Sus scrofa: one gene and its partner. The protein of the gene in region 1 interacts with the protein of each later gene in a pairwise test. Links are inferred from orthologs where the notes say so. Each region holds a gene or a part of one and is shown in the gene's direction. Other genes may lie near its edges.

Region 1 (3,804 bases):
AGTAGCATTTTGAAAGTAATAGGGCAGGAGTTCCCATCGTGGCGCAGTGGAAACGAATCCCACTAGGAACCATGACATTGCGGGTTCCATCCCTGGCCTCGCTCAGTGCGTTAAGGATCCAGCATTGCCGTGAGCTGTGGTGTAGGTCGCAGACACGGCTTGGATCCTGCGTTGCTGTGGTGTAGGCCGGCAGCTGTAGCTTTGACTAGACCCCTAGCCTGGGACCCACCATATGCCGTAGGTGTGGCCCTAAAATGTCAAAAAAAAAAAAAAAAAAAAAAAAAAAAAGGCAAACCCAAGGTCAGTCAGAAAGAGCAGAGGAAATCAGGGCCCCGCACTACCACAGTTGTGGGGGCCAGGGGTGGGCCTTTTGAGGGAGGATGTGCTCTTACTGCCGGAGTCGTTATGCCAGTGGCCTAAGCCCACCTTGTTTAACCTTCGTGAAGCTCTTCTCCATGGTGACGAGGGCTGCTGGGTTCCCACTTAGGTTCTAGAGCTGTCCCACATTTGCCTGTGGTGTGGATTAAGGTGCCCTAAGCACTTAGACACTGTTGGTAAATGTAGCAGTCTTGACATCTGCCCTTTTTCTGGAAATGAGGTAGGAGTCTCTTTGCTCTCATGCTGCCGGGGTTGGTCACGTGCCCTGCAGGCTCCCAGGGCCGCTTCAGGGGGCCCTTCCTCAGGGCTCAGCGGGGATGCTCCTCCTTAGGTTCTGGGGGCTGGTTTGACTGGATGGTGCCCACGCTGCTCTTGTGGCTGGTAAATGGTGTGATCGTCCTGAGCGTCTTTGTGAAGCTGCTGGTCCACGGGGAGCCAGTGATCCGGCCACATTCGCGCTCCTCAGTCACCTTCTGGAGGCACCGGAAGCAGGCAGACCTGGACCTCGCCCGGGTGAGTTCTGCGGCCCCCTTTCCCCAGCCTCCCCCGGGCTCGGTCCTTAACTCAGCAGCATGTGTCCTGTACCCCAGTGCATAAAAGTACTCCAGGGGACCCAGGGGGGGAAGGGACCCCGCCCCAGCAGTCAGGGCAGTGGAGGCCAGGGCGCCGGGGGAAGCCATCCCTGGACGGGAGGTGATCTCCAGTCTGGTATGACAGGGAGCCCACGAAGTGTGGTGGGAGCTTGGGCACAAGAGATGAGCGTTGGCTGAAGGAATCTGGGGCTTGGGCCGAGCCGTCACGGGCAGAAAGGACCTTCCCGGTGGCGAGGAGGGCTTGGGGACTGGCGAGTAGACGGTACAACCGGTGTGTAGGATGTGTTGGGGGTGGGGGAGGCTAAGCTTATAGTGGAGCCAGGGCCCGAGTCAATGAGGTGTTTGTTCAGTAACTGATTTGGGGCTTTTTCTCCAGTTCTCTGGAGAATCAAGAAAGTTTTTGAGCAGGAAAATTAGCTGAAAGTGTTCTTCTGAAATCAACAAAGGAGTTTTGGGGAAGGATTTGGGGCAATTCACAGCACTGGAGGAAGACTTAAACATCCATGTCTCTGGAGGAACAAGAACCAGGACAGCCCTCAGCAGCAGCAGCCACGGGCTTGCTCTCCTGCCGCAAGCTGCATTACCCACAAGAGAATCTGACCAGCCAGCCCGTCTGTTCCACAGCCCCGGAACTGTGGGCCGTGTCCGGGGCTGTGGCTGCAAAATGTAGATGTGGTTGTTGGGGGTCTACCCCTTAGAGCAGGGTGATTCCCCAAGAAAGGCGTCCCCAGATGTACCTCCTCGAGGCAGGTGCAGGCCTGTGTTTGACAGATGCCTTCTGGTGCTGTGTGAAGGGATGGGGAGATACAGTGCACAGAGCGAGGGGGGGGGCTCCTAGAAGAGATCGGGTGGCAGGTGGCCAGGACCTGGAATTCATGAATTCAAGAAAGACTTGAGATGTAAAATGGAAGGAAAGTGGCTGTGACAGTGACTCAGAGATGGGGGAGGCTGGAAGCAGTGGTGGCTCCCTCTGGACATGCTGAGAGGGCACTGAGGGTGAGAAGGCCCTGGACCGGGGTGACTCAGGCAGGTCGGGGGCAGATCAGGAATTTGTATTTCTAACAAGCAGAATGAAAAGGCCGCCTCGAGGCCAGCGAACGTTGCACCTTCTTGCTGTTTGCTAGGGGGATTTTGCAGCTGCCGCTGCAAACCTGCAAACCTGCCTGTCGGTGCTGGGCCGGGCACTGCCCACCTCCCGCCTGGACCTGGCCTGCAGCCTCTCCTGGAACGTGATTCGCTACAGCCTGCAGAAGCTGCGCCTGGTACGCTGGCTGCTCAAGAAGGTCTTCCAGCACCGGCGGGCCACCCCAGCCACCTCGGCAGGCTTTGAGGATGAAGCCAAGAGCAGCGCCCGGGATGCAGCCCTGGCCTATCACAGGCTGCACCAGCTGCACATCACAGGTGAGGGTGGCCAGCCTTGCCCAGCCTGCCTCGAGGTGCCACCTGCCATCTCCCCACCTGGCTTGGTTTGCTAGTTTTCTGCCCCAGTTGAATGAAGTCGCCTTTACACTGTTCATTTAAGATGATTAGACAGACCTTCCACCCACAGCCGTGGCTGCAAAGATTGTAGTTCGTCAGTTTAAGAGGCACGTTTTTTCCCAGTAACAATGTCTACACTTGGCTGTGTCCTCTACGCATAGAATGTCACGGTGGAGTTGGCAGTGTTTTTCCCTTGGTGGTACTTAAATTAATGGTGAAACTTAAAATTGATGCCATCTTAGATTCAATGAAATATGATCATTTATTCCCTCGACATACTCCTGCTACGGTAGAGAAGCAGACAGGTCAGCAAGTGAATGCCAGTTCATTGTGGTAGAGGCAGCAGAAGGTTTGGGTTGCAGTCGGGAGGGAAAGGGTACTTGTTGGGGCGGCTTTCAGGAAAGGCTTTCTGGAAAGTCTTGATGTGTATGGAAGAAGGAGTGCAGAGTTCACCAGCTCTGCACAGGCGCGTGTGCCTTCCACGCAGAAGGATGTTCCCAAGGAGGAGCCCCACCTGGGTGGCTCTTGGGAAGAATGGTCCCCAAGTGGGCTGTGCAAGGGGAGGGCGATGGGAGCCGCACGGGGAAGGGCATGGCGGCTTCAGATCGGTGCCCCTGGAGCTGTGAAGTTTCCCTCGGACGGAGAGGGTTAAGACCAGCTTTGGGGAGGCCTCGTAGAAGCTAATGCTGAGACGGTTTCCTGGTTTCTCGAGAGAGTTTGGGTGAATGGTGTTGCCACCACAAAGGCGAGGAAAACAGGAAGCAGGTGAGGAGTTCTGCTTGGGGCACTTGCCTGCGAGACACTGGGGGGCGGGGGGGCGGGGGGGTGCCGAATCCGCCATCCAAGAAAAGGAGCGGGTCTGTGGCCTGCAGGTGGGATGAAAACCAGGGGAGCTTGTGGTGAAAGGGGGTCCCTCGAGAAGGAGACCTGCATGGGAAGGACAGGCAGGGGACAGGGAGTTGGGCAGAAGCTGCCCGAGAGGGGACAGTTGGAGCAGTCAGGCTTGGTGTAGGGGGAGCAAAGTCAGAGAGAGTTCAGGACGGGAGGTTCCTGAGGGGCCCTGTGATAGGATGAGGGCAGAGGGCAGCAGGGCACGGGGTCACGGGAAGGGGATGGGAGGCCTGGTGGCTGAGGGAGCTCCCGCTTGGAAGTGGGGTGGTGCCAGGCCCCAGGGTGAACGGGAGACAGAGACGGGCCAGCGGAGGTGCCCCGTCTGCAGATCTTGCCTGCGTCTCTCTCCTGTCGGGGCCCCTGGGGGAGGAACAAGCCCTGTCCCAGGCCTCTGATCAGGAGGCTGCAGCGGGTTCAGCATTCCTGCTGGGATGGTTCACATCGCTCATTCCCGCCACATTCA
Region 2 (3,904 bases), about 12 Mb from region 1:
GTCTGTGACTGTACCACAGCTCATGGCAAAGCGCGATCGGATCCTTTACCCACCGAGCGAGGTAGGGAATGAACCCGCGTCCCCATGGCTCCTAGTCAGTTTCATAACCCACTGAGCCACAATGGGAATTCCAACATTCACCTTCTTCAGGCTTTGCCCAAAGCAGTAGAGGCCTCAGTTTTCGGGAATCCATACTTTAAGACATGATAGTAATATGGAGAAGTGCCGAGTTGTAGATAATGAAGTGGCAACATAGAACCTACAAGGGCGAAAGAGAATGGCTTTATGTTATTGACAGGCCACGCAGGCTGCCTCCACCAAAACTAGGGTAAAGGAGAGGCAGAATGAGTAGCCAGAAATTCAGGTGTTTCGGGAAAAATCACCTCTAACCTTTGCAGTTGCAAAAAGCAGGCACTCTATCTGGCTACTTGCTTTATGTTTAAACGTTATTTACAATTACGGGGTAGAGGCAGGGGCGGGGGTGGGGTAGCAGCTTACAGGACCTCGAACTCCAGGAAGTCCTCCAACACTCTTTAGCCTCAAAAGCAAGCTCTCGAAGAGTTAACCGGCCTTAAGTAGCTATCAACTTTGGGGGAATTTAGTAAAATGGCGTTTGCTGGAGTCTCACAAAGACCTTGCAAATTGGTCAGTGCGTTATTAACCTACTGTATGAGCGCCCTCGCCAGATCTCCTTGCGCCAGCACCCACAGGGGTTACACCATATTCTGAGGCATCCGCCTGCCAGTCCGCCCACCGCGGAGGGGGGAGACCTGAGAGGTACTTTTAAAAGCGGTTAAGTGAAGACTCAAACAAGCCCTGATGTCGAGGAAGAAATGCGACGCGCCGCGGGGCTCGGCCCTGACACTTGTTGAATTGCAGGGCTCTGCTGAAGCCTTGCCACCTAATCACGGTAAAGACGTCCCCAGAGGAGGGCCAAAATGGCGACGGACTCCTCTTGGCACAGCCCTGTTACCTCCCCGACAACTGGCGCCTCTAGTAACGCCCATTGGCCAAGCCGGAGGCGGTGCCTGGCTTCCCTCGCTGCCTCATTGGGCTGAGTGACTGAAGCAGCCGCCAATTCTCCCCTGCCTACTCCAGGTTCCCGCCCTCACAGTTTAAGCAGCATTCAATTGGCTTTTATTCACGTCAATTTGTGTCCTAGCGCGTCTCTTTTCAGTGTTAATCCAATCATAATTTTCCTGGCCGCCCGCCTGATTTCTGATTGGTTTTGATAAGCTTCATCCTATCCCATTCCTGTCTACTTTTTACCACCTCCCACCAGGACTTTGCCCAGGCTTGCCCAGGGTTTTGGTTGGTCGCTGTTCTGTCATTCCAATGAAAACCCTTCCTATCCCTACGTCTCAGCGAGCCCGCCTGGCAGTTGACTGGTTTCTCTCCAAGCCTATCATCTCTAAATCCCGCCTATCTTCACTTCCTGCACCTTTCATTGGCTTTTAAAACTGAGAGGGCGCCCTTTTTGGGCGGACACCACGCACGCAACTTTGTCTTACACGCCTTAGAGAGCAAACGAGTCTCGCCATTGGGTAATTTGCCTGTCTTTCTTTTGCAAGTCCCTCCTTTCACCCTCCCTTATTGGGCGGGGCAGCAGTGGAGGGGCGGGGCCTAGGCCGGGCTTGTGGCGCGCTGCTCCCTCCTCTTTACCCCCCCCTCCCTGTCCGGTCCGGGTTCGCTTGCCTCGTCAGCGTCCGCGTTTTTCCTGGCCCCCCCAACCCCCCCGGACAGGACCCCCTTGAGCTCGTCCCTCAGCTGCCACCATGAGCGGTAAGGATGAGTCCACTCCAAGCTTAGGGGTGGGAGGGGAGTGAGGGGGCGCGCGCGAGGGCCGACCGGGCGGTCCCCGCCGTGAGGGGGGCGGGCGGGAGGCGGCGGCGGCGGCCTTGGTCCCGCCCGGGGCGGAGGGAAGGGAGGGAGAAGGGGCAGTGGCGGGGCCTCGGAGGAGGAGGGGGATGGGCCGCCCGCCCCGGGGGAGGGGGCAGCGTGGCCTCGCCCGCCCCCTGCCCGCCCCAGCCACGGGGGACGGGCCTTACCCCCCACTACTCGGCCGCCCGCCTGAGGCTCCTCCTGCCGGGGGCTGGAGCCGCGGGGGCGGCCCGAGCAGTGCAGGCCCCGCCCGGGCCAACCGCCTCCCTGGTCCGCCCTCTGGTCGCCGCCGGCCCCAAGGCCCTCCTCCCCCCACCCCCCGAAGGTTACCCCTCCCCCCCGTAGATTACCCCTCCCCCTACCGTCCCGCCCTTTCCACGCCCCTCACCCCGAAACCGCCCTTTCCTTCTAGGGCCCGCCCTCTGTCCGCCCCGAAACTCCTGATTTCTAACCCCTGGACCTCTTTAGCCCCTTTCTAGTATTCACAAATGTTCCCCCCTACAAAACTTTTTATCTCATCTTTTCTCCTTCCCCTTCCTTTCCTCTTGTGACTTTCTACACTTGAATTCTTCCCTTTCTCCATCTCCTTTGACCCTAATTTGAGCAAGCTTTCCATCCACCCACATGTTTTATGCCTTATCTATATTTCTCCTTTTTTTCCCCGCAGGATACTTTTAAACTCCTTCAACATGTCCACGGACCCTTACATTGTCTATACCAAAAGCACCTTTTCATTGTTTTCTGAGTTTAATTTTGTACGAGGGAGAACTGCGGCCCAGTTTTGGCACCAAGGGGCCCAGTTCAGGTCTTCCTAGCCCTACAGCTGTCTCTTCTTCCCCAATCCTTTTTTGTTTGTTTGTTTAAATACTGGGACTTTCACCTTCCTGTTAGTCATTTTTGTTTGGTCCTAGTCTTCCTTACCCTTCTTCATTTTATCTTTTTTCTTTCCCCAACTTTAAGTTATCTTTTAATTCTTTTTAGACCAAGATCACTCCATGGATGAAATGACAGCTGTGGTGAAGATTGAAAAAGGAGTTGGTGGCAATAATGGGGGCAGTGGTAATGGTGGTGCCTTTTCTCAGGCTCGAAGCAGCAGCACAGGCAGTAGCAGCAGCGGTGGAGGAGGAGGAGGGCAGGTAGGTGATCATCTGGACAGAGTGGGCATCGTGTTGAGAGGATGTAGATATTCTTAGATGATTGTCTTTTCACAAAAAAATTTTTAGGAAAGGGCTAATTTACAGATAGGGAAGTAAGTACAGAGACAAGTGACTTGGAGATCCCCAAAGATGAGAATTTCAAATTTCAGCAGTGTAGATAGGTTGGCTTTTTGTTTGCTTGGGGGGGGCACTGTTTTGCTGTTTATTTATTTATTTTGGGTTTTTTTTACTGTTTATTTTTTTCTACTGCCCCCAGGGCTGGCAGCTGGTGTCACTAAACTAATCTCTTTCCTCTCCCTTATTTTTGGCCAGGAGTCCCAGCCATCCCCTTTGGCTCTGCTGGCAGCAACCTGCAGCAGAATTGAGTCACCCAATGAAAACAGTAACAACTCCCAGGGCCCAGGCCAGTCCGGGAGCACAGGTGAGCTTGACCTCACAGCCACACAGCTCTCCCAGAGTGCCAATGGCTGGCAGATCATCTCTTCCTCCTCTGGGGCTACCCCTACCTCGAAGGAACAAAGTGGCAGCAGTACCAATGGCAACAATGGTGGTGAGTCTTCCAAGAATCGCACTGTCTCTGGTGGGCAGTATGTCGTGGCTGCCACATCCAACCTGCAGAACCAGCAAGTCCTAACAGGACTGCCTGGAGTGATGCCTAATATTCAGTATCAAGTAATCCCACAGTTCCAGACGGTTGATGGGCAACAGCTGCAGTTTGCTGCCACTGGGGCCCAAGTACAGCAGGATGGTTCAGGTCAGATACAGATCATACCAGGTGCAAACCAACAGATCATCACAAATCGAGGAAGTGGAGGCAACATCATTGCTGCTATGCCAAACCTACTCCAGCAGGCTGTCCCCCTCCA

What was found.
Region 2: the proteins of SREBF2 (region 1) and SP1 interact in binary tests that used the Homo sapiens proteins (3 or more experiments, as listed by UniProt). The link is inferred for Sus scrofa from reciprocal best matches to the Homo sapiens genes SREBF2 and SP1.

The regions. Positions count from the first base shown.
Region 1 is NC_010447.5:6,743,091-6,746,894, reverse strand, and holds part of SREBF2 (sterol regulatory element-binding protein 2), read left to right. Parts: intron 1-709; coding exon 710-891; intron 892-2,095; coding exon 2,096-2,372; intron 2,373-3,804.
Region 2 is NC_010447.5:18,587,166-18,591,069, forward strand, and holds the start of SP1 (transcription factor Sp1), read left to right. Parts: upstream 1-1,597; 5' UTR 1,598-1,775; coding exon 1,776-1,782; intron 1,783-2,284; exon of another isoform or gene 2,285-2,686; intron 2,687-2,862; coding exon 2,863-3,017; intron 3,018-3,350; coding exon 3,351-3,904. UniProt on the Homo sapiens protein: Transcription factor that can activate or repress transcription in response to physiological and pathological stimuli.